Arabidopsis thaliana: one gene and its partners. The protein of the gene in region 4 interacts with the protein of the main gene of each other region in a pairwise test. Each region holds a gene or a part of one and is shown on either strand. Other genes may lie near its edges.

What was found.
Region 1: the proteins of ZFP3 (region 4) and AT4G00270 interact in a two-hybrid assay, tested with the Arabidopsis thaliana proteins (one large-scale study listed by BioGRID).
Region 2: the proteins of ZFP3 (region 4) and AT1G27280 interact in a two-hybrid assay, tested with the Arabidopsis thaliana proteins (one large-scale study listed by BioGRID).
Region 3: the proteins of ZFP3 (region 4) and BT1 interact in a two-hybrid assay, tested with the Arabidopsis thaliana proteins (one large-scale study listed by BioGRID).

What each region holds. Positions count from the first base shown.
Region 1 is NC_003075.7:114,549-122,678, forward strand, and holds AT4G00270 (DNA-binding storekeeper protein-related transcriptional regulator), read right to left. Parts: upstream 4,096-8,130; 5' UTR 3,921-4,095; coding exon 3,687-3,920; intron 3,604-3,686; coding exon 2,929-3,603; 3' UTR 2,537-2,928; downstream 1-2,536. Other genes in the region: MEE45 (Transcriptional factor B3 family protein), read left to right, coding at 423-476, 574-859, 966-1,075, 1,155-1,464, 1,558-1,679, 1,755-2,159, 2,204-2,503; AT4G00280 (ER protein carbohydrate-binding protein), read right to left, coding at 7,861-7,975, 8,103-8,130. UniProt on the Arabidopsis thaliana protein: DNA-binding protein, which specifically recognizes the GL1 enhancer sequence. May be involved in leaf initiation. May play redundant roles with GPL1 and GPL2 in cytokinin responses by regulating the transcript levels of type-A ARR response genes.
Region 2 is NC_003070.9:9,470,014-9,477,278, reverse strand, and holds AT1G27280 (Paired amphipathic helix (PAH2) superfamily protein), read right to left. Parts: upstream 3,253-7,265; coding exon 3,176-3,252; intron 3,084-3,175; coding exon 2,823-3,083; intron 2,715-2,822; coding exon 2,525-2,714; intron 2,439-2,524; coding exon 2,289-2,438; downstream 1-2,288. Other genes in the region: AT1G27270 (Paired amphipathic helix (PAH2) superfamily protein), read right to left, coding at 4,130-4,198, 4,281-4,382, 4,469-4,586, 4,683-4,976, 5,060-5,202; AT1G27260 (Paired amphipathic helix (PAH2) superfamily protein), read right to left, coding at 6,312-6,383, 6,461-6,562, 6,665-6,782, 6,879-7,148, 7,225-7,265.
Region 3 is NC_003076.8:25,329,874-25,338,954, forward strand, and holds BT1 (BTB and TAZ domain protein 1), read right to left. Parts: upstream 5,698-9,081; 5' UTR 5,527-5,697; coding exon 5,395-5,526; intron 5,301-5,394; coding exon 5,161-5,300; exon of another isoform or gene 4,832-5,160; coding exon of another isoform or gene 4,815-4,831; coding exon 4,511-4,814; intron 4,410-4,510; coding exon 4,075-4,409; coding exon of another isoform or gene 4,071-4,074; exon of another isoform or gene 3,799-4,070; coding exon 3,612-3,798; 3' UTR 3,299-3,611; downstream 1-3,298. Other genes in the region: AT5G63150 (uncharacterized protein), read left to right, coding at 371-787; AT5G63170 (GDSL-like Lipase/Acylhydrolase superfamily protein), read right to left, coding at 8,826-8,989. UniProt on the Arabidopsis thaliana protein: May act as a substrate-specific adapter of an E3 ubiquitin-protein ligase complex (CUL3-RBX1-BTB) which mediates the ubiquitination and subsequent proteasomal degradation of target proteins. Also targeted for degradation by the 26S proteasome pathway.
Region 4 is NC_003076.8:8,682,791-8,690,513, reverse strand, and holds ZFP3 (zinc finger protein 3), read right to left. Parts: upstream 3,327-7,723; 5' UTR 2,991-3,326; coding exon 2,283-2,990; 3' UTR 2,099-2,282; downstream 1-2,098. UniProt on the Arabidopsis thaliana protein: Acts as a negative regulator of abscisic acid (ABA) signaling during germination and early seedling development. Involved in the regulation of vegetative development and fertility. Modulates red light signaling in seedling photomorphogenesis.

The DNA of each region.
Region 1 (8,130 bases), on a different chromosome or scaffold from region 4:
AGTTACCAATTTTTATCTTAAGTTTAATTAAAATTATTGAAAAATATGAACTCTCTCTTACAGTAAACCGACCTGAAATTGGTTTTTGGTTCCAATTTGACACCAATATTTTATCTTGAACCAAATCGAAATTTATGCTATTAAAATTGAACCGAGCCGAACTTTACTTTCGGTCTACTTCGGTTCAAGAAATTTCAATCCAATACATATGAATTCTGAAAGTCCTGAACCGAACCAGAGTGTTTAACCACAATAAAAGTCTCTTCAATGGTCTCTTCTTGAGTATATCAATGGTCTCTCATAGTTTCAACAACACCAATAAACTGTCATCTTCAAGTTGGAGTTTATTACACTCGTTCCTTCAAGAAACTGTACCGTCGACTTTCAGATTTAGCCATTTAGGACTTCTCAAGATTTTGAAAATGGCGCATCAACATTTCTTCAAGCCTCTTCTTCCTGGCTTCCACGCCTCCTTGGTACTCTCTTTCTCGCTCTTTCCCTTCTTCTATCTCTGTCTATGTCTCTCTGAGAAGCTAAAGATGAGTCTGGTTTTGTATTTGCATGTTGCTTCAGACAATTCCTGTAGCCTTCTTCTTGAAGTATATAGAAGGAAGATATGAGCAGAAGACGGCGAAGCTGAGATCAGACGCGTCAAAGAGAACTTGGGAAGTGAAGATAGATGGCCAGAGACTCACCGACGGTTGGAAAGAGTTTGCTGTCTCACATGATCTTCGAATCGGTGACATTGTTGTTTTCAGACAAGAGAGTGACTTGGCTTTCCATGTAACACTGTTGGGACCTAGTTGTTGTGGGATTCAATATGGTTCGTGTTCAGTCGAAAAGAACAACCTCGGTGACGGTGAGTTGTGTTCTGTCTCTGGCTCTTCAAGAAACGTGGTTTGCTTTTGGAATGTGGATCAGTGAGTAGAGATAACCAGTTTGACTATATAACACTTATTTTTCAGAGAAAAAGAAAGTGAAGGAGAATCCAAATGGAGAAGCAGAGTCTTCTTCACGAGATCCCTCTTGTTTTGTGGCTAATGTTGCGCCTTCGAGTCTACGTTATGACTTGATGGTATTTGACTCTTAAGAACCCGAAAAGAAACTCTCATTCTAGGGTCTGAACTCATGTTGTATTCTAATGAATTTTTCAGAGATTTCCAAGGGGTTTTGTGAGGGATAATGGTGTAGTCGGATCTGGAGAGATTGTTCTGATGAATGAAAAGGGCAGATCATGGAATTTTAACTTGAGACAAAAGCCATCAAACGGAACAGTTTATGTTAGAGGAGGGTGGGTGAGTTTTTGTGATGCCAATGGGCTTAAAGCTGGAGATAACTACACTTTCAAACTGATCAAAAGAGCAGGAACTCTTGTTCTACGTTTGTTACCCAATGAGCCAAAAGAGGAAGCTAATGAAGTGTCTCTTCCCGAAGAACCGGAAAGCGATGCAGAGCGCAACCTTGGTGAGTTCTGTTCTTTCTTTCTCTAACTCTGCCCATGATACTTGACATTCAAGAAACGTGCTCATATGGATTTTATTTCTTTCTTTTTTTCAGAAAAGATTCAAAGGAAGGAGAAAGTGAAGAAGAATGTAACAAGAGAGGCAGAGTCTTCTTCACAAGATCCCTCTTGTTTTGTGGCTAATGTCTCCCCTTCGAGTCTACGCTATGACACACTGGTATTCTACTCTTACTTTTGAATCCCAAAAGAAACTCTCATTCTAGTGTCTGAAACTTATGTTGTATTGTTCCAGTATCTTCCAAAGCGTTTTATGAGGGAAAATGGTGTAGACAAAAGATGTGGAGAGATGATTCTGATTAATGAAAAGGGAAAATCATGGACTTTAGATTTGAAAGTAAAGAAATCATCCGGAACTTCTCTCATCAAACGAGGATGGAGAAGTTTCTGTAGTGCCAATGGACTAAGAGCTGGAAGTATCATAACTCTCAAACTGATAAAGAAAAGAGCAACTCTTGTTCTACGTTTGATCCCCAACGAGCCAGAAGAAGCTAATGAAGTAGTCTCTCTTTCGACAGAGCAAGAAAGCGATGAAGAGAGTATCCACGACGAGAAAATCTCAAGAAGAAAGTCTTTACTATCCGAAAACCGATTTGTGACATTAACTCTAACACCTTATACAATCCAAAGTTCTCTACTGGTACGTTTCATCATTCCAAGCCATTGTCTTTTAACAGTCTATAGAATGAGAATCTTTTGTGTGAATCTATGTTTCAGCGTCTTCCGGTTCCTTTCACGAGGATGAATGGTATCAATGAAGAAACTAAAATGACTCTGTTGGATAAACATGGTGTGAAGTGGTTAACGACTCTGCGGTTCGAGGACGACAAAAGAAAAAGACTACGAATGGTAGGAGGATGGCAAGGATTCATCCAAGCTAACGATGTGAAGGCAAACGAATCCATCATGTTGGAACTGATTTGGGAAGAAGAAACAAGTTGCGTCCTTAAGTTCTGCTCCAAGGTGAAGCTAGAAATCAAATGAAACTCTATATTGAAATGAATCAATGTTTGACTCTTTTATTTGGTAAGATATAACTCTTAAGGTTTCATTGTCTTAGAGAGTAAGAACAAAAACCATTTTTCTTTTAATCTTCTACATTGTTAATATCTTGGATAATATTACAAGACACACACACACTCTTACTTATACTACTTCACTACACTCTTAGGCACACACACAAGCATGCCTTAAAGCACATTATTAACCCTAGACTCTAGACTCTTGCACAAGCCACTCTACTACATTGGCTCTTGTGGATACTTGAGTAAAAAGTGGAATATCTTACAAACACTTGCCCAAGTAGAAGAAAGACAGGATCCAAAGATAAATACACTGAACAGACTAGAGCTTATGACTTACTAAGAACCTAAACAACACCAAATGCTACAAGGGCATATTGGTTTCATCTAACTATCATTAGCTGCCTCTGCAAGCTTGGCGGAAAATCTAAGCTTCTTGATATTGAATCTTGTTTCCTCAACACATAACGCTTTCCATTCATCACTCAACTCTCTTCTTTTACCATTTCCAAGGTTCATCAGCTTCTCAAGCTGCAACTTCTTTTGATAACCACTTAAACCTTGCGACATCACCGCCTCAAATGCATCCTGCACCGCGCATAACTCATCATCATCATCATTGTCCTCATCATGTCTCTCTTTTCCACTACTAGTCCCATTCTCTGTTGTTTTGGCTGCCCCATTCTCATTTAAAAGTTCAGTATTAGCCACTTCCTCCTCGTGCTCCTTCAACATCTCCTCCCCGCTCTCGTTAGTCCGGTTTTCCGCTGCACCATTTCCGTTTACCTCGTGCTCCTTATCCATACCATCATCATCACCTTGTCCCCAAATCATCGAAGAAAACCCAAAGGCTTCAGAATCACTAGACCTAGTAAATTTGGGATCATTCCCTTGATTGATTTTCTCCGAGTGAACATGAAACCTCCTTTTCAACTTCCTGATTTTACTCAAAACCTGATCCTTGGAGAATCTCTCAACGATAGAACTTCCGAGGAAACTACAAAACGCATCCCAATCAATTTTGGGATTGAATCCTGTCTTAGCTCTGTAATCAACTAACCCCTGAGCAATTTCGAAAATCTGGTTTTAGAAAATCACAATGCAAAACCAAATCAAACTATAAATGGAGAAGATCAATACAATACCTTTAAGATAGAGAGCTCATCTTCCTCGTTCCAGATCCGGACGATCAACGGCGGATCCAATTTCTTCTTCTTCTTCTTCATCTTCATCTTCTTCTTCATAGTCTCTTCTTCTGCGACGGAAGCAGCACGCTTTGAGGAAGGAATATTCCGTGGAGATCTTCGATGGGAGAGGGTACCGTTGGAGTTATCAGCACCAACACAGGAAGAGAAATCGATCTGCTTCGGAGTCACCATGCTTATTGCTTGCTTTAGACTTGCTGATTCTAGGGCGCATGCAGAGCAGTGATTCCCAATCTTCACGACCTTTAAAAAGTGAAACCCGAGAGAAAAAGAAAAGCAAAATAGGATGAGTAACACTTGGCCATACTTTTCTCAACATTCATAACAAAACAAACACTTTCATCTTTTTTTCTACTGTTTAATATTCATCAATAGTACAATTTTGCTCTTGCAAAAATCTATCATTTTAGTCACTTAATAGTATAAAATATTTTATCTACCTTTTTTATATAATAAATTAAAATTTAGTTTTTTCTACATTTTAAGATTCATTGCTGATATATTTTAAGTAAATAATTATATTATATATTATCCATTTCTGATTGAATATTTTTTTATTATTAAATAGATATTAAAAGGTATTTGAACAAAACATATTACACGATAAATTAATAAATTTTGTCGGTCTCAAATCGGGGTAATGTAAAAATTAACCAAAATCGATAAGATAATAAGATAATATTTTTTTTGAAATCCCTATGTAAAAATATGGTACCAGTAATATCATAAAATTAATAATCATAAATCTTTAGCATACATTCAAAGACTAATTTTATATGAAACTTTTGTTCAAGTCATAATTGCAACTCTTTCTAGAGTATAGTTGGTGTGATCTCTTTTGTATTCACATAACTCTTTGCGTATTTGATCCGTCATATTTGGTTTTGTAACTTTTTTTATATGAAAAATCATTGTTAAGATTTGTGTAATAAAAAATTGGATTAAGTCTCACGTTAACGTCGTATACATGCACAATATCTTACAGAGAAAAAATAAAAAAAGTAATAAAAAAAAATCTAACAGAATATACAAACAATAAAACATAAAGAAAAACTAAATTAAAATTTTTCTTTTTAAAAAATTAATATTGTATTTTACGTATAAATTTTTATAAATTAATAAATGTACTACTATCATAGTAACACCTACAAACTGATATGCATATATACACAAATGAGAGTTAACACTATATATATATCGATTGTACCTTGTGTAGTGGAACACTTTATTGTTGTAAATACATAATCCTCAACTATTAGTGTCTATGTATGTCAAACAAATGAAACAATGAAAGCAATCCAAATTAAATGAACAGATTACAATGTAAAATGCCTTCATCCATCTCCGCCATTAGCATGATAGGAACTTGTACTCGATTTCGAGATCCAAGGAATATTACAAAAGGAACGTAACCGTGCTTCTTTATGATCTTCACCACCTCAAGAAGGACCTCTTGTTATATTGTATAGCTCCTCTTTTCCCTGAGACAAATGACCACAATTCTAATGTAAAAAGATCACATCAAGCGACACAATACTCCATCGGTCAAAGATCATTCTTTTAGCCAAAACTTCATTGATTAAGGCTTTGAATGGGAGGGAAGCAGAAAAAATACATGTTTACCTTTGCATATAGTGCTCCTATTATCAAGACATTATTTCTGTATTTTCCTTTTTGTTTTAATATTTAGAGTTAAGATTTCTGTTATTTAAAAACAGTTGATCTATGCATGCAGTCCTTCTCTTACCAAGACATCATTCATGTATTTTTATTTTTGTTTTAACATAACATTTTTGTTATTTAAAATCAGTTGACATGTGCATGTAGTGCTTATGTTACCAATACATCATTTATGTATTTTTATTTCATATTTTATTATTTAAAATCAGTGTATCTTTCTATGTATTCCTCCTATTACCAAGACACTATTCATGTATTATCATTTTTATTTTAATATTTATTTTAAGATTTTGTTATTTAAAATCAGTTGACATGTTTATGTAGTGTTCCTGTTACCAAGACACCATTTATGTATTTTATTTTTTATTTAATATTTATAACTAAGATTTATGTTATTTAAACAACAGTTGACTTGTGCATGAAGTACTCCTATTACCAAAATATTATTCATGTATTTTCATTTTTTATTTAATATCTATATTTAAAAATTTTGTTATTTTAAAATTAGTTGATATATGTGCATATAGTGCTCCTGTTACCAAAATATAATTTTTGTATTTTTTTTTGTTTTAAGAGATTAAAGATTTTTGTTATTTAAAATCAGTTGACTTGCCTATGTAGTGCTCTTGATACCAAGTCACCATTCATGTATTTTATTTTTTATTTTAATATTTATAATTAAGATTTATGTTTTTAAAACAATAGTTGACTCGTGCATGTAGTCCTCTTATTACCAAAACAACATTCATGTATTTTCATTTAATATATAATTAAGATTTATGTTAGTTAAACAATAGTTGACTCATGCATGTAGTCCTCTTATTACCAAAACATCATTCATGTATTTTTATTTTTTATTTAATATCTATATTTAAAATTTTTGTTATTTAAAATCAGTTGATATATGTGCATATAGTGGTCCATTTACCAAAATATCATTTTTGTATTTTTTTGTTTTAAGATTTATATTTAAAATTTTTGTTATTTAAAATCAGTTGACTTGCCTATGTAGTGCTCCTGATACCAAGACACCATTCATGTATTTATTTTTTATTTTAATATTTATAATTAAGATTTATGTTATTTAAACAATAGTTGACTCGTGCATGTAGTCCTCTTATTACCAAAACAACATTCATGTATTTTCATTTAATATCTATATTTAAGATTTATGTTATTTAAACAACAGTTGACTCGTGCATGTAGTCCTCCTATTACCAAAACATCATTTATGTATTTTCATTTTTCATTTAATATCTATAGTTAAGATTTATGTTAATTAAACAACAGTTGACTCATGCATGTAATCCTCCTATTACCAAAACATCATTCATTTATTTTTATTTTTTATTTAATATCTATATTTAAAATTTTGGTTATTTAAAATCAGTTGATATATGTGCATATAATGCTCATGTTATCAAAATATCATTTTTGTATTTTTTTTTTGTTTTAAGATTTATATTTAAGATTTTTGTTATTTAAAATCAGTTGAGTTGTCTCTGTAGTGCTCCTAATACCAAGACACCATTCATGTATTTATTTTTTCTTTTAATATTTATAATTAAGATTTATGTTAAAGAACGGTTGACTCGTGCATGTAGTCTTCTACTTGACATTCACACCTGAAACATTCAAACTCTAAATACTTATAGAAGAGGACCATAACCATTTTGTTGATACAACATTGCATCAATTTAATCTCCATCCTTCAGCTCCAATTGACAAAACACATTGAAAAAAACACCATCGATGAATATGGCTTATCTTAATATATTATAAAAATCTTTAAGCTTGAATGATAATACATATACCTCATCAGGTGTATGATATTCTCGAATTCAAAATAGAAAGCGAAATGTGTTCCACTCTACACCTCTCATTTTGGTGTAAAGTCCCATCAATTTAAGAAGCTTCGCCTTTCTTCTCACCTTTATATTAAGTCATGCATGCTAATGTAGATGAAGCTTGTGGACGCTAAGAAATGTGAGTTGTTGTTGGAGAAGATGGATGTTTTGAAGGAGGTGACTTCGGTGCTTGCTCAAACCAACTAAGAAGAAGAAGAGGAAGCTATTGGATTGTATTATAGGTTTATCGGTTTTTAATCTCGGGTTTAAATGGAGATGTAATGCCTTCTTTTGTTATCTAACTTAGGATTCGTCTCTCTGTCTACGTTAATGAACTTTTAGGACTTTGGATTCTCGTGTGAGAATTAGCTAAGTTGTCTTTGGTCGATGGTTGTAATGAATTAGCTAAGTTGTTTAACAAGCCTTTTGGTCGATGACTGTAATGAACTTTTAGGACTTTGTAAATGTGCTTCCTTTTTGAATGTCTCTCTACTCAAAACTCATAACCAGAGTTATTACAAAACGAAGAAACACACAATAGAATGGATTCGCAAACATATTCAGCAATGACAAGAGTTCTAAATAGCTTATATGGTGATAGGTTCAACCTCATTAACAAAACGGGTTATGATCAAATACTCGAAGCCTTTTCCCTGCGGAGGCTGCACATTGTAACAGTTTCTGTTGCCTTGAGGGAAGCTCCTAAAGTTTTGAAACTGTTTCTCAAGAGAACTTAGTTTGAAACAATGCCTTTTCCAAACCAGTTTCAATGGTGTTGGAAAGAAAAATTTGTATGTACTCAACAAGAAATGATCCATTTCATTGATACGTTTTCATCGGTTGCAGAGATGGTACGA
Region 2 (7,265 bases), on a different chromosome or scaffold from region 4:
GAGCCATCAGCAATTGTGACTTCTTCTCCACCATTGTAAGGTTGATGAAGAGCAAGGTTGTTCAAATCTGTGGTAAGATGGTGTGTTGCTCCGCTATCAAGAAGCCAAGGATTGTACGACATGGCTGCCATATTTGCACGGGGCTGCCATGGAACAGTAGCATTAGGGTATTGACTTGGAGATGGGGTGGAGTAAGCGCCAGACATCTGAAGCTGTGAACAACGTCTAGCGCTATGGCCAAAAACTCCACAGATTTGGCATTTTCCTTGATAACCACGAGAAGAGGGCTGATCGTTTCTTGGCTGTTGGTATGAATTAGCACCACGATTGTTGTTGTTACGGTTTTGTCCGCGATAGTTGTTGGAGTTGTTATGCTTGTTGTTGGCTGGAGGACGATAACTTGCAGCATTTGCAGAGATCGGAAGAGACGATGCCGCAGCTTGAAGTTTCACTTCATGATTAAGTAACTTCTCGTGAATTTCAGTGAGAGAGGGAGGTACCTCACGACCTTGAATTTGGTCAATGACCTGTTTGTAGTCATCGGAGAGCCCTTCCACAATGACTTCCATCTGTTCCTCACTCTCCATCGGCTTGCCAAGGAGAGCTAGTTGATCAAATCGCATCACCAAGCCTTGGAAGAATTCATCGATGGATTTGGTGTCCTTCTTCCATTGCTTGATCTGTTGTCGTAATTGTTGGATGTGAGACCAGCTGGGTTTAGCATATGTGTCCATCAGCTTAGTCCAAATTTCAGCAGATGTTGTTGTTCGGGAGAGGATCGGTTGAACCGAGATTGAAATAGCGCCTAGTAGAGCACTGTAAATGAGTTGATCTTGCCTTTGCCAGTGCTTGAAGGCAGGATTGACCGTAACTGCACCATTTGCAGTGATGGTTGCAGGTGGGACGACAATGGAGCCGTCAATGTAGCCGGTGAGATCGTAGCCGTTGAGTAGAGCTTGAACTTGACGCCTCCACATGAGAAAGTTAGAGGACGTGAGTTTGGTAACATTAGTCATATTGACGTTGAGAAGACTGGTTGAATCAGATGTAATGACAGTCTCAGAAGCCATTGAAGAGAAAGAAAAATAATGAAAAATGATGAAAAACAGAGTAGCGGCTAGATTTAGGTTTAGGGATCGTTTAAAGCTCTGATACCATATAGTATTGAAGGCTGAATAATTCATTAGATGATATAATTACAATATATATAGTGACTACATTAGAATGAATTAGGGATTAATGATTTATTAAACTATCCTTTACTTATATACTCTACACAAACCACTCAACTTTCCCCCATATTTCACCACTTTTGCGCTTTTCAAGCGTAACCTCTGCACACCAAATCATCTTCCTAAGCGAGTGAATATTATTAGGCCACAAAACTGCCCTCTTTCCACCATAATCAGCCAATCTAATCCTTGTTTTATCAACAGGTACTGGTCCTACGTGGAACTTTCCGTCAAGACATAGAGTTTTGTAGTCAAAGCCGCCAAATGTCTCGCTGCAAGGGATTGGCTTAGGATCGCAAGTCTGTGTTTTTGTGTCGAACACCTCCATCAAGTTTTAATAGGAATTCGAATCGCCATCCTTACAGCATCCTGCTACATATATCTTTTGATCAAGTACGCTAGCAGAATTTGACTGTAGCTTCACTTGCAAGCAAGAAGCCTCGTGCCATGTGTGAGACCAGCAATTCACTTGAATTACCCGATTTACTATATTGATAAACATATTTGGTAATTGGTACTACTATATTTTTGTTTGGTTTGCTTTGTACTTTTTGGTCATTTATAGGTTTGTGCTAAGGCTCTGTTTCTCTATGTTTTTGTTTCTACGTTGAACTAAGATGACCCCAAAATCTCATGTCTTCTTGGTAACGAGGAAAATATCATACATGTACATGTCAGAAGAAACTATACACTCTCTTTTAGTCGCTTATATCCAATCAATCTACACCTCAAATATAAAAGCATATTTGCATATCATGACATCATGTTCTCTATGGAGTAAGAATCAAACTAATCTCATATGAAAACTATACACTCACTTCTCATTAGAAAGAACTACTCTTTTTGTCTCTTATACCCCAAACATGCATTATATTCAAAGCATCCTATACTAAAGCAGAGACAGTCTTCTAATGTACTTAGCTATCTCTAGCAGATTTTGACCCTGATGGATCAGTGGGTCTCTTGAAAACGTCTGCAAACCCCATGACTAAATCTTCATGACCCTCAAGAAGTGCAACGACCCGCAAAGACAACAAAGCAAATCAAACCAAAGAACTAAGAGAAAGTGTAATCCAACCAAAGTGTCCCAACCAAGAACCCTACCTCCTGGTACAAGTCATTCACGGACTTGTTTCCTTCTTGGTACATTGTCAATATCTCGAGAAACGACTCATATACATGACGATCATCCCCCTGGAACCTTTCCTGTACATCGACGGATCTGTTAGCATAGATGGAACATCAAAATGGTAAATGGTAAGGATTAGTTTTAGTATTTTAGCACTCTATACCTTAAGCTTGCCGATAAAACTCGCTACACGTTTTCTTTTGTTAATATCAGATGCAGCCCGTTGCTCAATCTTGAGATGGAGGATTCTCTGAGCCTCAGGTGGAAGGAAGGCATTCAAACGGACAAGCAGATTCTTGTGAGCTTTCAAGAGTTCCTCCACCCTTGTAATGCCACCAGCAACATCAATTAATCTACAAAGAGAATAGTATATAACAAACAGAATCACTTCACAATGTTGTATAGATTGAGACTTGAAATTAAGGGCAAACAGAATTGAAGAGGGACACAACAATACATACCTATACCTGATATCATAAAAGAGCTGGAAAAACTCGTAATACTTTGCAGGTTCATCATGAAATGCTTCCTTGACAGTGTTGATGTATGAAACCGCATCATCAATAGTAGAATCCGGTGATACGCTTGTTGCAGCAATGGTTTGAAGTTGGGCTAACCCTTCGCTAGCCTCAGCTGGAAAGAAGTCAAAGAAACGAACAAGCAGGTTCAAGTGATCTCTCATGAGTTCCCCCATACATGCAGTGATTCTAGCTCTATCGTCTCTACACAAGAGAATAAGAAACATGAGAATCAATTTCACATCTGTATTTGTTTAAGAACAAACCAGACATAACCGGGGGAAATCAAGACATACCTATGATTAAAATAATCACGTATGAGGTGGAGAATATGATTAAATTTTTCAGGTTCATCATGATATACTTCCTCCATAGAACCGAGTTATGAGTATTCATCATCCTTAGTTAACTCTAATGGTACGCTTCTTCCATCCATGGTGTGACCTAAAACCATTGTTATAATCCAAACAGGTCAGATCACATCATTTGAATCCATCTACTATCTCAAAGCTATTTCTTTAAAGTTTTTCAAGAAACAGAGCCAAGTGCAATAAATATCGATCTACTTCCTCAAGAACCCTAGATTGAGGAACGATTTGAAAGCAGAGAACCAGAAAACTCGATCGTAACCCTAATCGTCTGGTGAATTGACATATCAACTGAACGAAACAAATGATAAATCGAAAGAGGAACCAAGTATGGCTACCGATATAAGCAGAGCAAAGCAGCAATGATGAACAAGAAGAAGCTTCGTCTTCGTCTTCGCAGAGTAAGGAGTTCAAGATTTCTAGAAGCAAAGTAAAAACCTCAAGACTGCATAGAGTTTTTGTTCACGAGTCTATATTTATACTAGGGAGTATATCAATTTCGTAATTCATATAAGGTTTACTTAAATTAGAAAATATATTTGTTATTAGAATTACTTGATTCTTATTTGGTTTGCTCTGTAGTTTTTGGCTCTGTTCCTCTCTGTTTTTGTTTCTACGTTGAACTCTGTTTTTGAGTGTTTCTCCTCTCAGTTTCTATTAAAAGATGACCCCAAAGATAACCAGAAAATATTAAGTGAAAAAAACATTTGATATCAAAGAAAGCTCTACAAATACACTTTCTTTTAGTCTCTTACACAGCAATTCATTGAACATAGAAGCATAGCATATTTGTGAATGTCATGTTAATCAAACCTAAACTCAAATGTTTTCGTCTCTTAAGGTATATAGTCTTCCAGTACTGTCCTTAGCTATCTCTAGACTCTATGGATCACTGAAAATTTCTGAAAGCTCCATGAGTAAATCTTCATGACCCTGAATAAGTGCACGGACCTGCAAAAGGTAACAAGCAAATCAAACCAAAGAACTAAGAAAGTGCAACACACAACACAAAGTGTCCCACAAAGAACCATACCTCCTGAGACGCCTCATCTTTGGACTTGTTTCCCTCACTGTGCATTCTCAATATCTGGAGAACTGAGTCAACTACTTGACTACCATCGCCCAGAAACCTTGCCTGCACATCCACAATTTTGTTACTTAAATCACAAGTTAACATATAAGAAACATCCAGTAACTATAAGCATTTAAGCACTCTATTACCTTAAGCTTCGTGATAAACCTCCTTGTAGGTGAAAGGAAGACACAGAAACCAAGAAGCAGATTCAAGTGATCTTTCAAGAGTTCCTCCATCCTTGCAATGACACTAGCGGCATTGATTCTACAAAGAGACTTAGTAATATCAGAATCAATTCACATGTGTGTTTGTTGTGTAAATTGAGAAAATCAAACATAACATGGAGAAAACAATTCATACCTACGAGCTTTAAGATCAGTCAAGAGCTTAGTAATTTCCATATATTTTGCAGGTTCATCATGAAATGCTTCCTTCACAGCATTGAGGTAAGAAGTCGCATCATCCATGGTAGGCACCGCCACCGCCGGTGGTACGCTTCTTCCAACCACCTTATTGATGTGAAACTCTGCGCTAGCCTCGGGAGGGATGGCTGTCTGCAACCTAAAAGGAAGTAAGACATTTGAACCATGACACAGATTCGCGTGATCTCTCAGGAGTTCCTGCAAGCTTGCACTCAAAGTTTCGAAACCGAATCTATAAAGAGAAAAATAACATCAGAATCAATTCTCACATGTGTCTTTGTTCTCTAAACTGTTGAAGAGCAAACCAAAACATACCTATTAGCAGTATAATCAATAAAGATTCTTACAAACTCTTGATATTTTTCAGGTTCAGTATCCTGCAATGCGACCTTCACAGCATCGAAGTATGCCATCCCATCTTCGAAATTGAACTCTGGTGATTTGCTTTTTCCAACCATGGTGTCAAATTAGCCTAATCCATAAGTCAAAGATAAAGATTATTGTTCATCGAAACAGATCAGATTATTCATTGAAACCCTTCGTGTATCTCGAATCTATCTCGAGAAACTTAATCTACAGCAACAACTAAATCAGTTCGTCGTGATTCATGCAAAGTTCATCTTCTAGAATACAGATTCATGTAAATTTCATCCAACAAGATCCTTAAGAACATCTAGAATCAGTCTCGATAGAAAGAAAACAACAAGACGTGCCGATCAAGAAACTAGAAAAGAATCATATACGAGATCAAGACATTCGATCGTTAACCTAATCGTCACGTCACATGATTTCACATTTCACATGAACGAAAAAGGAATTGAAACGAAGAAGAAGAAGAAGAAAACTACCTAACGAGCAAGCTTCGTCTTCGCAAGTGGGAGAGGCTTCAAGATTCCCAGAAACAAACGCACTCTGTTTTGAGTTCTTTTTTTCTCTCACCAAAACCTCAGAGACTGATTTGAGTTTTATTCACGAGTCTATATTTATAGTAGGGGATTATCATATTGACTTCATTTCTTTTTGTTGTTGTAAAACTGTAATTTGTAAAATTTGTGAATCTGAAATTTTAAAAGCTTTCTTCAATATGATAATAAAATATTTTATCAATTCGTAATTTATACAATAATTTAGAAAACATATTTGTTGTCATTAGATTTACTAAAATTTCTTTGGTTTGCTCTGTATTTACTCAAGTAATTCTTGTTTGGTTTGCTCTGTTCCTCTCTGTTATTGTTTCAACGTTGAACTCTGATTTTGAGTGTTTCTCCTCTCAGTTTCTATTAAAAGATGACCCCAAAGATAACCAGAAAATATTAAGTGAAAAAAACATTTTGATATTAAAGAAAGCTCTACAAAAGAAACTATACACTATCTTTTAGTATCTTATACACCAATTCATTGAGCATAGAAGCATAGCATATTTGTGAATGTCATGTTAATCAAAGCTAAACTCAAATGTTTACAAAGAAAACTAAAAACACTCTCTTCTCATTAGAAGCTCTACTCATATTTTTGTCTCTGAAGGTATAAACAGTCTTCCGGTACCGTCCTTGCCTATCTCTAGACTCTATGGATCACTGAAAATAATTTTTATAAGCTCCATGACTAAATCTTCATGATCCTGAACAAGTGGAACGACCTGCAAACGATAACAAAGCAAATCAAACCAGAGAACTAAGAAAGCAAAACACAAAGTGACTCAACCAAGAACCATACCTCCTGGAACGCCTCACTTTTGGACTTGTTTCCCTCACTGTACATTCTCAATATCTGAAGAACAGAGTCAGCTACATGACTACCATCGCCCTGAAACTTTGCCTGCACACGAAACCATTTTGTTACTTAAGCCGCAAGTTAACAAATTGGAAACATCAAAATGGTTTTCTTCAGGCTTAGTATACCAAATTTAGCAGTCTATACCTTAAGCTTCCTGATAAACTTCATTTCAGCTGAAAGGAAGACACTGAAACCATTAAGCAGAGTCTGGTGATCTTTCATGAGTTCTTCCACACTTGCAATGAAACTAGCAGCATCGACTCTACAAAGAGACTTAGTAACATTAGAATCAATTCACATGCGTGTTTGTTGGTTAGACTGAGTAAATCGAACATAACATGAAGAAAACAACTCATACCTACGAGCTTCAATATCATTCAAGAGCTTAAGAAGTTCCTCATATTTTGCAGGTTCATCATGAAATGCTCTCTTCACAGAGTTGAGGTATGAAGTCGCATCCTCGATAGTTGTCTCCGGTGGTACGCTTCTTCCAACCACGTTTTGAAATCCAGCTGGTGTGATGGGTATCTGAAACCTAGCTGGAAGTAAGGCATTAAAACCAAGAAGCAGATCCAAGTGATCTTTAATGAGCTCCACCAGCCCTACAAAGAAAGTAGCTTTATCGATTCTACAAAGAAAATAATAACATCAGAATCAATTCTCACATAGTCACATGTGCGTGCTCTATATACTTTTAAACATACCTACGAGCTCGACGATCACGCAAGAGGCTTAGAAACTGTCG
Region 3 (9,081 bases), about 17 Mb from region 4:
ATCCGATCCAATAATTAAAACGTTTTGTCTATACTTTATAAATTTGGCTACATAACGTTTGATTTTGGTGTTTTACAGTAACACCTAATCAGTTTATAACAAAAATTTGATTTGTTTGGTAATACATGATTTATAAAATAACCTTGAAAGAATAATCAAGTAGCCCGTATAGCTCAGTGGTAGAGCGTCAGTCTTGTAAACTGAAGGTCCGTAGTTCGATCCTGCGTGTGGGCACCTTTTTGTTTTTTTTTCCCATTTTCATTTCCTTTCATTATCATTGCGAAACGGCGACGTTAATAAGTTTCAACCCGTCGTCATTTTCACTCGTGTTTGACGAGCTTTTGGTTTCTTAGGGTTTTTGATCTCTGCAATGGCGAATCTAATTCCTAGATTCCTCAGGAACAAGTCTTGCTTCAATTCAATCCAAAGGCTTACTACTACTCCTTCTCTCTTCACTTACCAGAAGCCCTACTTCAACAACAACAACAACATCGACTCTGTTATTGAGAAACCCGATCCAGTTTCTTTTACTAATCCTTTGATTACACTCTCCGGGAATGAATCCAATCAACCTATGCGGTTTTACCCTAGTTTCTCCATGGGGTTATGCTTGAATCCCAAAATGATTCAAGGTCTGGATCTAGCTGAAACAGCGTCGTTGGAGGAGGAGGAAGAGGATACGAAGGAGATTGTGATTTACGCTGATAGTGTGAAGAAGAAGAGGAAGAAGAAGATGAACAAGCACAAGTATAGGAAACTCAGGAAACAGCTTGGTCGCAAGTCATAGATTTTTTTTACTATTCCGGTGAGAAGTTTGCTCCTTTCATGTCTTCTGAATTACTGGGATTCAAAGGATGAACCTTTTTTATTGAATCAGAACAAAAAATTTCTAAATTCCATTGCATTGTCATTAGTCTGTGTTCATCGTTTGTCTTGACAACACATTTCTAATAAAACGTTTGCTCAATTCACACACTGGTGCAGTATGTCTTTATGATTTTGAATTCTATAGGATTTGCCAATTTGCTGTCTTGAGTTTTCTTGCTAGTTGGATGCTCCAAGTTTGTTTCTTTCCTCTATGCACTAAGCTAGCATGAATTCTTCATTTCATTATCAGTTCTTAGTGATTGTATAAACGTTATCAGTGTGTACTTTTCATGTGTCATTTGCTTGGAGACCCGCTAAGGGTATTTAACCTGGTTTGATTGTAGAGTTAGGTGTCGCAATGAGATTACTTCTTTAAGCTTTAACTGGTGTACTCTGGATCACATGGAACCTTAGATGATATCTTAGGGTAAAGTTCCATTGTTATCCAGGTACTGATTCACAATCGCTTTTAGAAATTCAATGTTTATTGCAGTTGATGCGGATGGTTGGTATCTTCAGATTGTTATCAACTTCTATGTCTTGAGTTAGTCAGTTAGATGAAGAGGATACTGATGTTCTATTTAGTTGTAAAGCTAGAAATGGTTGTAACAATTATCAAAGCTCAAAAATGCAGAATTTGCAGACATAGTTAGTGTGAGTCATACTAGTCTCTCTGTGTTGGCATTCAAAGACTTGCACTATAAACTTGTAGTAATCTACATCAGAAGAGTGACATTAATCTTTTCCAAGTTTGATTACTAGTATTAATAGATTTTATTATCATTCTTCTCTGCTTCAATAGCGTTGTTGTTCCAAGTTCCAACTCTTGAGTTTTAATTGCATTGGTTTTGGACATTCTTGTTTTTTTGTGATTCGTTCATTTGCTAAGGCTGTGTACCTTAGAGAATAATGGGTTATGATCTTGAATCTACTAGCAACTGTTCGTTGCTTTTGGATCATATCAGTTCTTTTTCTTTCTCAATGAAACAGAGCATTTCTTCTGATTTTTAGACCAAGATGATGGTGTTTATGTAGCTTAAAGGATTTATATGATTAGTTCATGTGTGACAACGTTAGTGATTCATGTCTACTAACATTCACACCCGATTACTCTGTTTTTTTCTTTTCTATTGCATTGCATATCTTAGTTGAATTTAATATATCAAATAATGGGAAAAAATCTACATTTGCTATAAATATCTCTTTATTGGTACTAAGTACTAACAAAGTAATAATACAACAAAATGTCGAGAAACGTCAGAAGATCAGAGATAAATATCTTATTCAGTGCTAACACCTAAAACTGAATGTTAAAGTTAGAGCTATGAATCTCTTTCATTCCTTAACCACAAGAACCGATACACTGTTTACACAAGAGAGCCTCTAGAACATCTCTAGGTCATATAATTCTCAATCACAGGAACACATCGTCGCTCACAAGTCAAAATATCAAACAATGCATAATTAATCGTATCACTCCCATGACTCTTTACCTCCACGGAACCTGCAGGATGCTTCCAAGTCTTTGCTTACTCCAGCTCATCCAAGTCTTTGGTTAAATCTTTAGTCACCACTCACTTATTCTGTGTCATTACTCCTGATAAGAATCTTTTTTGTCGTTCGTATGTAAACATTCTTTTCTTTAATTCATACGTGGTCGAATCTTTAGTCACCTCTATCGTCATGATAAGAATCATTGTTGTCGTTAGTATTAAAACATCGGTGACTGCATTGCTCCACTACTCAGAAAGCTTTACGGGTTGATATTGTCATCTTCTTTTTTGTTTTTTTTCTTCAAAATATGTAAAAATAACAATTTAGAATAAGTTTCATGTTGAAACTTTAGTGAATGAACTTGCTCGAGTTGTTTAACCTTTTTATGTCAAAACTCGTGTTATAACATGAAAATATTCATTTCCATTTCAAAAGAACAATTCTTGTATTTGATTTTTTTTTTATTAAGTGCATTCATCTGGTAGTTAAGAAGTATGAACTGAAATGTAAGAGTAATTGACATCCGACACGAAACCACATTGCGTGGTTCATCTGTCCCCCACGCGTCTTTCCTTTTTCCAGTCGAACCCAAGTATGAATGAAGAATTTAATAAAAATATCTCTGTTTTAACTAATTATAAGCACATGTTTTTTTCTAATAATTTGCCTTGTTTGCTTTTGAATCCTCAATCATGATCAACCTTCCACTATACCAGTGACTAAGACCGGTTGGTCAATTTTGATCTCCAATATTGAATTTCTATTATTTCCATCAAAATTCTCCTTTGTATCATGCATGGTTGAAGCTATTGTGATTGATTAGACCGATCCAACTTGAATCTCATTTAGATTTTTTGTGATTCATATGCAACCAGGTCTAGTCATATAATTTGGCATGACCAATCAACTACAAAGAGAATAATTATTTTGTTTCCATCTTGTCACATTACTTTAGATTCAGTAATCCTTTTGCGTTTGACGTTAGCTAGTTTAAACCGGATCAATCTGTATACTTTTTGCCACAAAGTCTCCAAAAACCCTAATACCATTTTATAACCAATAATACATTTCTATATAATTCGACCGACCAAACAAAACGACAGATTCAAAGGGTTACTCATTGACAAGTTTAACCCAATCAACCAGTCCGAGAGACAAATAACAAACAAATAAACCTTCCGACTCAAGTAATTAATGGCTTCTAACAATCGCTCACTATATAATCTAATAAAAACACATATATTGTATATTCACATTAACTTGTTCCGGATTCTGATCAAATCTTCTGCTTCTTCTTTAAATAACACTTCACTTTTTTTCTTCTTTGATTGAGACAACGAAGACATGGCTTTAGCAGACGCTACTCTTCTCACCAGAACCTTCCACTTCGTGTCCTCAACCATTTTCTTGTCCTTTTCACCTCTATTCTTATATTGCCTACTCCAATCACCAAAACAAATAAAAAGTTGACAACGAGATCAGATTCTCATTTCTTAAAATATCTTTTAATAATTCTACCAAACAAAATATTTCCAGCCGTCCGATCACGACTCATCATCTAATAAGTAGGCTACCACCACAAAAAGATAATTATTATTGGCGCCGAAAGTTAAAAAAAAATCAAATGAGATCTACTATCGAAAAGTGAAAAACTTTTATCATTAGAAACATTTAAAATGTGGTTTTGATTATTCTAAAATGTCGGATTTTTACCTGCAAAGAGGGACACGGCAAGATTCAGATTGGTCACAAATCGAAGAATGGAGTCTAAGGAGTTGAATCATTCTCTTGCATCGGACACAACCTTTGCCATCGACTCTTTTCTTGCATACTGCAAAGTGACGTATAAGAAGTTGAAGTCCGTAACAAGTCGAAAACGCACTGCATGGACCGGGTTTTGCTTGACATGTTGACTTGTTGTCTAAGTTAGACGATGGTCCGACCAGTGTGCAACCTTCGGTGCATATGTGTTCTATACATTCCATGGCTTCACTCAGCTGCAAATACAGATTCTGTTCTCGTCTGTGTCTCCTTCTTCTTTTCTTCCTCTGCAAGAAATTGACCCAAAAGAAACCTAATTCAATAAAACAGAGTTTTCTTGAAGAACCAAAAAAAAAGAAAACAAAAAAGTGTGGTTTGAGTTAATTACCGATTCTGCATCGTCGATGAATTGGAGAATGTCAAGTTCAAGAAAAGGATCGTGTTCTTGAAGAAACTTCCATCCTTCTGTCTGTTCAACGGTCTTGAACTTGTAGTGAATGAATCGCATACACTTGAGACAGAGGTCAGGTGCGTCGCAGAGACGAGCCAGCTGGAGAATATCGACAACGTTTTCGGCGGTTACTCTCTCACCGACGCCTTTAGTGCACCGTTGCTTTAACTGAGTCACCATATACACGTGTGATAAAGCCAGTAGATGGATTCCGTATTTTTCCATCTCATTCTCCGTGACACTAAACAAAAGATACATATAGGGGTATTCTAGTCATTTTGCATACTAAGGGTAAAATTTGCCGTTGATTTATTCAAATTTGATGTTGGTACTAGTTTCGTGTTCCTTGTGTTGTGTTTCACACGTTTTTGAATATGAAACAAGTCTAAATCAATCGCAATCTGGTTGTAGTGATTTTAATGTATGATTAAAACGTTGGAAAAGTCGAGTTTGGTAAAGATCTTTAAGATGATGTATTTAATCAAGCATTCTTTTTAGTATGATTTGTATTTTTGAAGTAATAAATCTACGGATTAAAAAAAAAAATCTGACGATCAAGAAGATATGAAAAAGAGAGAAAGACGAACCTCGGAGAATAGAGGAATCTGACGAAGACTGAAACGGCGTCGCATGGAACACCGAGAATCTTAATAACTTTCTTCGATGATCCGCCGTGAATCTTCCTCGGCTTCTCGATGATGTTCGTCAGTACCGGTGAGACCGAAGCCTGCATTTAACAATTTTAAACAAACAAAAAAGATAAGCACCAAAATAAAAAAATATTCGATCATACAAAGAAAGTAAGAAGAAAAGAAACTTACGAGGATGCCGGAGTGTGCCGGAATACTACGACGACCGGAGGTGATGATCTCAACATCAGTTTCCACAAGATCATACGAAATCTTATTGGCGTTTAGTGAAACGCCGTCGTTTTGAGTGGCGGTTATAGCCATCGTTTTAAGTTTTCAGAGAGAAAGAGAAAGAGAGAGTGTTGGTAAATTTTGTTGTTGGAGGCTGGAGGGTTTTAATTTGATGATGGAGAAGCTTGAGGGCATTGCTTCTCTGGATTTTATAGACACAGCTCAACGAAGTCTGGTCCTTTTTGATTACTTGTTAATAACACGTGGCATTTTTTTATGATAAATATCTTGTTTTTGTTTCTGTTTTACCCTACGCGCCTTTGTAGATGCGTGTATGTCAATTAATCTCTGTTTTTTTGGTAACCAGAATAATTGGAAATAAAAGTAGTGAACTGTATATTCAGGAGTTTTGGGGTCTCAGATCTGTATTTCTCTGAGATAAGTTATGATTCATTGATAAATAATTTGCGGTTGTCTTTAACACCAACCCAAATGCAAGTAATTGGCTATGGTTTTTCCGTTTTGATAAATAGATAATCGTATATATAGACACTAAGACACAGATACAATTAGTTGTATCTTAATCTATACACAGATAACACCCAGTATTTGAGTCTACTTTAAAAGCATATAGTTACATGTTGTTATAAATTTTTATAAACTAAAATGAAACAGAACTTCTTGCTTACAAAATTTGAAGCAGAAAAACTGAAAATATACTACTGTTTGACAGAAAAAAAGAACTAACAAATGTGAACAAACCCAACAACAAAAAGCCTATGTGTACTTATCTCATTTATGTTTATATTGGACTAATAAATATACAAAGCACAATTTAAAAAAAAAAAAATCTCCAGAAGATAAGTTCAATTTTATTTTCCTAGTTTGAATAGTTTGAAAATTTAAGTCTGCATATCATTTTTGGACCCGAATGACATATTTTATTTAATTAGATAAATATATTTTCTCCATTCAGAGCTCATATCATATGTTAAAATCTATGATCAGTTACATTCATCTTACTACGCTTAGATATGTATAAAGGATTTGGTGATGCAGCTTATTATAAACTTCCCTAGGACTAATATGCCTCAAACATTGTCAAATAGCCGCAGTGCCCCCTAACACAACATATTCTATAATACATTGTATAACAAAAGTATTTTCTTATTCCCAACCTGATATACCAACAGGATCTAACCTATAGATCATTACAATATATTATGTTTTTAAATGGACCTTTCGATACACCAATGTCGACTATATTTTATTCCCAACATTACACACATATATTAATACTTTCCACTGAAAGTATCTAGAAATAATATTGCCTTTGGCCCTTTGTAATGTTTGGGATGACAATAAAACAAGTAATGTATTTTACTTTTGGTACCATGTAGGATGTTTGTCCCCATGATTCATGAAGTCACGAATGTTTATCTTTTTTTATTGATCCTACGTGGGAAAAGTGATAAAACCGGTCAAGAAATTTGCCTTTGTGATGTAGAAAAAGTGCTGATAGTAGTATTATTCTAAGTTTGAGAAAGGGTGGTTATTGAAGTAAACCGACCCTTGCCTCTTCCCAAGAGCCCACCTCCTCGTCTACGTGGCTTGTTGATCCTCATCCACTCTCAAGCCCTCTTGTCTATCCACTTGTCATTCTCTCATTTATCCATTTCTGCCACTGGCCTTTGTTAATTGTGGTTTAAGAATGCCTGAACATCATAGGATGTTGAAGAACTTATCGAAGAATGAAATAAATTTCGCCGCATATATTACACGTGGCAAATCTGGTAGTCTAGGCCAATATGGCAGTCAAGCTTAACCATTAACATCATGACACGTGTCAAATAAGAGCTTTATGTTGCGCATCAAGCTCTTAAACGAAGTACTTAAACGAATTCAGAATCAGTTCCAAGAAATTTCAATATCCGTGTTGACATTTAACAACTAGTGTAGACATCTCATAAGGCCATATAACTATTCTAAGTTTCTAACTATTGGAAAATTAATGTGTTAAGGTTTCAGAGTAGTAGTTTATGTACACTTTTTAGTTTTATAACATTTTATTATAAGATGTCGGGGGTGTTTTCCTTTCATTAACTCTACAAGTATATGTATATTCGATATATTAATCATGTTGTTGTTATAACTTTAAGTATTCACAAATGGCTCTTTAAGAAAACGAAACATCAAAATCCAAAACTTGTGGATAAGTTTCGACGGAAGAGAAAAGTGAAAAGTGTTAATAAACTAATGGATTTGATGATTTCATGTAAGATTCTTCCCAACACATTTAAGGGTTTAGAAATTAAAATATTACTGAACACTTTCTATTCTAAAATTGTTTGTATTCCACTTGAACTCTGAAGCACTGGAGATTGATGTGCATGTTTATACTCCGATCTTATCCTTTGAGTTTGGACTTTGGATATATATTGCCCATTTATATAATGCAAGTAGCCAAGTATGAAGTATCATGAATCAGCGATGTACTTATAAAAACTGAAAACAGTAGATTTTTAATGTTTTTAATTGTGTGTATAGTCTAGTTGGAGAAAGATGTATATTAGTGTATATTTCCATATACATTCTCCAATAAATAATTTTTATGGTTTGACATAAAAGTCTAACACGAAAAAATAACATGCTCAACACATTCAGTTTAAATATCTAGTTTTTTTATTATTATTATTGTTCATCAAATATGTTACCAAGATTAAAATTTTAATTTTTACAATAAATGGTTGACTAACTCAAAAATCGGGATGACCGTTGACCTGACCAGCTTCCCATGGTCTTCGGAGCCAACCCTAACCACACGTTGACGAGGCGCTGACTCGGAATATTTAGAAACTTATCTTCTTCATTTTTTTTCCTTCTAAACATTTATGCTAATTGCCTAATTGGAAATAAGTTTGTATTTTCTATTTGGAACACAACAAAGTAAATAAATTAAAGTAGAACAAAATAAAACAGATCTTTGTGCGGCTCACAAATTCTCAATGTGGCGTGGCGGGTAGTTTTGTTTGGTGCTAGTCTAGCCTTTTAAAATAATCTTTGAACTTGGTCAAACTATAAACAAATTTGTGGGCTTCATGTTGATTTTATAGAAGCTGTGTGCAGTTTCTAAGTAAGCTCAGAAACAATTGGGTCTAAAACCTTTCAAAAGGGCCCAAAAATAGAAGAAAAGATTTAAGGGCAGTACGACCTGGAAACAACGATTGTGTATGTACATGGAGGCACTATATATTGAGGTGTTTTAATATATAAATAGTTAAGATGTATTCATTGATAAGATAATCATAAGCAACATGTTACACTTACAAGAATAATATATCTTTTATATACACATAAATAGAATAATCGTCGAATAGACAAAGACACCCAAATCAAGCGAAGCTTTGTTGAATTTGTTGGATAATCGGAGGAATAATTGTCTGATAAGCTTTCTCCGATGGATGTGCAATGTCCCAAAACACATAACGAGACGCATCCAAGCACGGTATGGGAGCCGCCGGAGCACAACAACAAGGTCTAGTTGGCGAGATAAATCCTTAAAAAAAACCAAAAATATGATCATGAAAAATTGATTCACAAGAATTGAAAATTTTATAGCAGTAAAGATTTTGGTGATTTAGACTTTAC
Region 4 (7,723 bases):
CAGAGTACCAATTTTTTTTTATAATATAATTTAACATTACATTAAAAAAAAATGTTTACCGGAGAAGTCTATCTTCAGTATCTCGCTCCTTTTCTAAGATCACATATAACATATTGAGTTGTGGACGACCTAATTCAAAACCGACATTCTCTTCGTTATTTCTTTGTTGTTTCTTCGACTATGTACATTGTTTTCATTATGATTCGAGCATTAGAGATTTTTGAAAAGATAATTTTATTTCTTTTTTAGCATATATATATGTAATTAATCGTGGTGTGGACATTGTGGGTGTTTAGCTGTTTACTTCCCAAAATCGGATGTTTTTGTCAAAGCTATTATTGAACCAACGAACATATAATGTCCTCCTCGACGACAGGCATCTTCGTACACACACAACTATACAAAGGACTAAAATTAACCGGCAACATATATAAATATTAGATGCAAAATATTATTAACTGATACCTTTTTTAACAATGAAATGAAATATACGAGTTCAATTAAATTCAAGTGGTGGTGATACAACAACAACACTAACATAAACAATTATTTACGCGTTTAAAGTTAGTCAAAACATGTAACATAACATCTTAATTTATAATGAGCAAAAAACTCTCTCCATTCAATATAATAAATCATCCGAAAAAATAATATCTTACTTTGATATGTAAATGAAGGGTCTATAACGGTCATATCCCACTAACAAAGAACGATTGAGCTGCGTTACGTGATTTTACCGGCAACTCCAAAAATCTGCAAATTCATACCTCCGAAAAATTAGAAATTTAGTAATTTAAGAATCCATTGGACCATCCTTCACTGGACCTTCAAAACTGTCGGAGAATGTCGTTTTCGGCTTAGTCATTTTCAGCTATGGGGCTTGTGGCCCAAGATTAGAGACGCTTTGCTCTATATATGTAACCAATAATAAAATCCTATTTCATATTTGGTGAGGCTTAACTTATATATATATAAGTCATGTCTTCAGGCAAGTGTAAGTAGGACATGTTTTGGGGCCAAACTGATGAAGATAAATTGAAGGGCTCATCAGGTTGGTTACATTATATATGCATGGTCTGCATGGTACCATGTGTGCTTGTCTAACTTTGTTTTTCTTTGATTTATTTATGGAACTGTGTCACTTTTGGTTCACTATCTGACACTTTTTCTTCTTGATGGATACAAACAAATATTTCTTTCCTCGAATAAATCATGGTTACTGATGAAAAAAAAAGAAAGATATGACAATCACAGACCCTTGTTTAATTCAAATATGTAAGATATGTTTAAGTTTAAACCGGTTTAGGGTTAATTCTAGAGCTAAACAAGCTCAATATCGTGGTTAAGCAGCTTGTTAAGGGAGAGTGTGTGTGTTCTCATTTTTGGGAGTACTTTATTAAAACAATTACCTTCTCTGTTTCAAGAGCCAAGATTGAGCTCGATAGATGATGATGATTTTTTTTTTTATTCAATTCTCTTGTAACTCTCAAAGATCATAGTGAGTGTTCATTTATAGTTTGCTTCGGTTTCTACTTACGATCTTGGCTTGTTCTTGATCTGATTGGTTTGTCGATTAGCTAGTCGAGAGAAGTTCTTGGTTATTTGGTGAATACTGTTTCGACCATTTGTCGAAAACACGCGTGAAGTGATGATAGCAACATCTATGACAAGTTTTGTCTTTTAATGTTTTCTTACATATGGAGCAATGTGATGCCCTTCTAATAATCTCTAACAAAGAGAACCCCATTGGATGCTTTATTAGTTTATTTAACGTTACATGTATTTTGGTATATACTACCAAAGAATTGTATTTGATATTGTGTTTAATTTTTCTTCTAGTACTCTTTTGCTTTTAGTGTCACAATCATCCTACACAGCAACTGTCTTCATAGTTTATTTCTATCTGTTTTGTTCTGTTTAAATGTCTTATTAGCAACTTTTAAACAAATAGAATGATTGTTCTAACTTTTAGGTAACCTAACTTTGAATTATAATATTAATTCCTTTTTCTTGTGACTCTGAAATCAAATCTTCCCACAGATCTCAATATTCACTTTTCTTCTCTTTTTTCCTTTACTCTATACTTTATACGGTTGTTGGATGTCTACTTGAAATCCATTAATGTATAGTTAATAGTTTACAAATCTCAGACTAAAGTAGATATGTGAAAAAGATGTACATTAGATTATCTTTACTAGAAAAAAATATACACAAAATAGTACTAACAATCACATGAAAAAACAGTAAAAAGACACTAAATTCAAGAATCAAGAAAAAGAATCTCAAAGCTTGAGGGACAAGTCAAGTTTCTGCTGCTCTTCATGATGACTTGTACTTAACAACAATCCTTTGTCTCCGTGCCATTGTTCAAGAGTCGGTGACCCTTCTAGAACCCGTCCTGTGTTGCTTGGGCTATCGATGTTATTGGACCGTGAATTTACTGAAGGAGCCATCATCATCATCTGATGATGATGATGATGAAAATTATCCATTGAGGGAAATTTACCTATGGCTGGTTGTTGATCAAATGGAAGTCTTGACCAGTTGATCTGACCATAGTGACCACCAAACCCGTTATAAGAACTTAGCTTGTGGCTTATCGAATGCGCTTGGATCCCTAAAGACCTATGGTTGTTGTACTGTCCGTGGAAAGGAAGTGGAGAGAAACCGTAAGGATGTCCAAAAGCTGAGGCTGACGCTGCCATACGTTGTCCTCTCTTCGCCAACGTTCTCTCTCTCTTGTGTGCGTTTTGGTGACCACCAAGTGCTTGTGAGCTATAGAAAGTTCTTTGACAATAGTTGCATGAGAAAAGCTTTTGTTCTGTGGATGTTGTAGATTCGTTAACGATACTCGTTGTGTCGTCTATGCAGTCGATGAGATTGAGTTCGTGACTAGAATTATGAACGTCTCTTTCTTCGTCTTCGATGCTCTGGTTTAGAGAATCTTGATATGGAAAAGCAGTGGATGAGGAAACTATTGAAGCGTCCATGAGAGCTAAAAAGGGATAGATTTTTTCAGGAGATGATTTTTTTCTTTCTCTTTCTCTGTCTCTTTCTATCAATAATAGCTATGAGAAGAGGTTTATATCAGTGAATGGGAGCAGAAGTAGATGGTATTAGAAAGGAATAGACAAAGGAAACAAAGACCCTACACTAGAACATTTTCTTAGGGTTTTGTAATAAGTGGACCAAAGTACTATGATGAGAGCGATAGGTAGGTTTGGTTTGCTGTCACACCCTTCTCACAAAACACTTTAAAGCTAGTTGATTGGAACTCCACCATCTAAATACCTCTATCTATATATATGACTCTTACCCTTTTTGGCTGCTTCCTCCTTCAATAGTCCAACAAATACATTAAGTGTGTAGAATTTAAATTTCGCTTTGATTCCGGTTCAGATTTATTTGGGTTTCTAGATTTTCAGTTTATGAATGACCAAATATCTAAGTAAACCAAATGAGTACTATACCATTGGTAATCCACAATCCATAATAATTTTTTTTTTGTAGTGCATGTTAAGGAATCCTTTAATATTTTAAGTATGAACATTTTCTAAAAGAAGTTAAGGGATCGAAAAGACAATGGAAAACGAAGCAGTTTCTCAAAATAGTAAGTACATCATGATGAAATGACAGAAGAGAAAGATGACAATAAAAATTGAAAAGGAAGAGTACTGTTCATGGACCATCCAAATTTGTTCAGGTCTGTTTATGTCTACTTTTGTATAACTCCACGAGGTAAGTGACCATTTCTGTCTCCTTTGGCTTCTCGTGTGGTCCTCTCCTTCATCTATTCTTTCTTTTGTCTTCTATTGAGTCAAACCAAAGCTCAAACTAATCACAAAGTAAAAGAACTGGTTATTCGAACTTTGTAATAATAGTTAAGTAAGTATTTCGGGTAAGAATATAGATCGATGATCTTGACAAAGCACCTGGTTAGAACAACTTGGAAACCACTCGTACGTTCATTATTATATTTATCGATTTTACTTTGTATCTTAGTGAGAAATTGTAGACCATGTATATGACTTAAAGAATATTTCGTCTTTATGATGGATCAACCTTTCTCTTGTTGTGTAATCTTAAAGGAAATGATATTTGAAACTTCCACACGCTCTTCTACTTTATCATCTAAAGAGTTTAGTGGATTTGTCAATATGAATTTTGGTTTCCCACTTAATTTCACATCATGACATACAACTAGGTTGCATGACAAAAGTCACTTTCTTCAACCAATTAATACTTTTCTTTTGGAAGCCACATCGGCAAGATCAAACCCACTTAAGCTTTTGATAACAATCTAAACCACATTTCCAAAGTTTTAGTTTAAATTTATTTAGCTAAATTTGAATTACTTTAGCTTGTAATGAAAGAGAAAAGATCTAATGGTTTAAAGTTATGTATATTTGTCGTATGCCAATTGTGACCTAGTTGATGGGTCCAACGTTACATATGGCCGACACAAAAATGGGAAAAAGCTAATTAAGAGTTTTCAGTTTCTAATTAATGGCTAATTATTTTCATAAGAAAACTAATTTTCCTTTAATAAATGTATATGTGAAGTTCTTTCTGAGTTATATGACATCTCCATTTAAGTATACCTTCGTTCTTTGTTTCATCAATCCTCAATACTCAATAGATTGATCATAAAATGTTAGATTAGTGAGTAATGTGAAATCGTGAATTGGGAAATTAAAGTGTATTATGGACTATGGTAGCTTAATGAGTATAACAATTTACCACGTTGTATTTATATGATATAGGTCACATAGTCATCAATCATAGTCAAAAGATACAGATGAGAACATTGGATCTTACTTTAAACAGATGGTGACATGTAGCTATTCATAATTTTCCCTGTATGTAGAGAGATTTGATTCGTCTTTCAAATCTCTTTGTTTGACAAAGCTTTTGTGTATTTTTTAATCTGTCAATGCTATCGGTAAGTAATTAAGTATCATATAGTAAAAGTATTAACCACTAACCGGGTTCATCTAAGTGTTTTTGGGCCTTATTATAATCTAATAGTTAACATGATTAGCTAAATTTATTCAATTCAATAAAAGTTTTCAAAGTGAACGAAAGTTACAAATCTGCAGTGATTATTTTCTAAAAGTGGAATAATTTTATTGGTAAAAAATTACTAAAAACTAATTAACCCAAAATTGACATATTATCAATTGCAGACATAACATTCATCCACTATGGGTTTACTTACCACGTGGAGTTATGCACACTAGTAACCTCTTTGGAATTTTATCCAAAAAAAAAAAAACTCATTGGAATTATTTGATGGCAGATTTATTTCGATGAGAAATGATTGATTGTTTTTAACTGTGGTGTAGCAGTGAATCTGTCATTTGAATTGATATATAGTTTACTTGTTGTTGGTTTCCCACATAAGGTTGTGTATTACATCATTACTAGATCATAACCCGTGCTGTATAGCACGGACATTAATATTGTGTATAAACTAAATTGTATACTTTATTTGAATTACATAAGAAATAGTATAATATAAAAGTGTTGTCATAATATTTTTCAATGTTTTTACTATTTGGATATAATGCTGCATTGGATTGAATTTGTTTAAAAATATTATTTTTATAATAAATACAACATATATAATTTTAAGTAAATGTGTAAAATTTGTATACAAGTTGTTCTAGTAAGAAACATGTTTCCTTTGTATTAAAAGATCTAATTTTTGGCCTAACTTAAAATTAGTTTTTGTATAATGTTTTGGTTATATTTGTGAACCTAATTGGGCCCTATATTAGATTATCTTTGATAGGGCTCACGAAAAAACAGACCCGATAACCAATCCATTATCCGAACCAAAAAACCGGGTTAGAGCGGGTTAGAATTTTAGGAAATTTCCTTATTAGGTAGAGTTTTAGTAAACCCGTGGATATCCGATTGGTCCAGAAATTACCCTTTATCCAAAGAGGGTATTCAAAAACCCAAACATTAATTTAATATCCAAAATATTAATTATATTTAATCGTAATATAATCTAATTATCTAAAATTATAATTATAAATCTAAATATGTCAATTAATTTTGGACCTAAATATCCAAAACAACTAAACTATTCAAAAATTATGTGTTATGTTTGTCAAAATTTAGTAAAATATATTCAAATATAATTAAATTTATTAAAACTTAACAAATCTAAAAGTTTTTTTTGTTTGGAGACCCACTATCTACATACAAAATACCCGTTTCAATTTTTTTGGGTATTTTTAGGGCCTGAAACTTTTTATCCAAACTGACGCAAACCCAAATGGACCCGACCCGAACCAGAACCAAATATTTAGAATTATTCTATTGGGTAGTAAATCATATACCCATTAATCCCAAACCCGAACGGGTTCTACCCGAACGGGTTCTACCCGAACTTGAATAGGTTACTCATATGCCCAGCCCCATTCTCTGATTTAATTATCTAAAAACTCCCAAAAAAACATATGTTTTGCTGTCTACGTTTTATTCGAAAAGTTTTACATCCTCTTCTGCCAAAATCATTTCATGGGACATCCTAAAACCCTTGGAAGAATGATTCCATGAATGAAGAAATCCTAATTTGAATATACCAAGAGGTCTTGAAAGGTTTTAAGTTTTTGATAGGTGTGTATGTGAGAAGGTACAAACATCGTGATGGTAATTTGCTTATTTATAATTTTAACTTGCAGTATACCGCATGTAAGCTTATATTTTAGTTAAACTAAAAACTTTTATTGTAAAGATGATTATAAATATACGATATTATTTTATTTGATTTTAAATGTATAATAAACTACGAGTTGTATATGTTTTGTTGATATTATTTATATTGTTTAGTGTTTAAAATTATACACTTGTATTTTGATTGTTAATTTTAGAGTTTCACCTGTAGTATACCATCTTGTATTAATATCGATCTAAACCCGTCAATTCTAGGATTTTCCAGCTTGTATTAAAAATTGAATCACATCATACACATAAAAAAATCTAATATGTTATTAATTATTGTAGTATATAAGATTATAAATTTTCAAAACAATATATATGAAATTGAATATAAATATTCATATTATGACCCAGTACTCAGTAGAAAGTTTTCTTAAATCTATTTTTGACCCGTTATAATATTGTTTCATGTATTGAATAGTTTATATTCGTTTTTAAAAATTTAAATTATGGCATATGCGAAAAAATTCTAATTATTTTTTTATAGCGATGATATTATTTTTCGCAAAAATAGAATCATATAAAGATGAGAAGTGAACTATAATAATTAATAAAAAAATTAATATGATAATTTAGATATCAAATCCAATTTGTTGATTTTAATTGGTTACTTTTTTGGAAATTAATAATGTATTTCGTTTTTAATTAAGTTTAATTAATTAAATTAGTATTTGACTTTTTAATTCTTAAAGAGATGAATTAATTTACTCTTTAAATTTTTTTTTCTAATTGCATATCTATATAATTACTTACAAAAGATAAGGTTACATTTAAAATATACTTTCCAAATAATATTGTATGATATAGTTCTGAGTCTGTCCAAGATTATTTTTATGCACACACTAGTATAAAAATATGGTAAAAATGGACTAGATATGCATCATGTTAACTTTATTTGTTTTCGAAAAAGTAATGAGAAAACTGACCGGGAGAGATCTCATATAAGAAGATAACGAGTACCACATTCCCACATATAATTCCAAATGTAGAC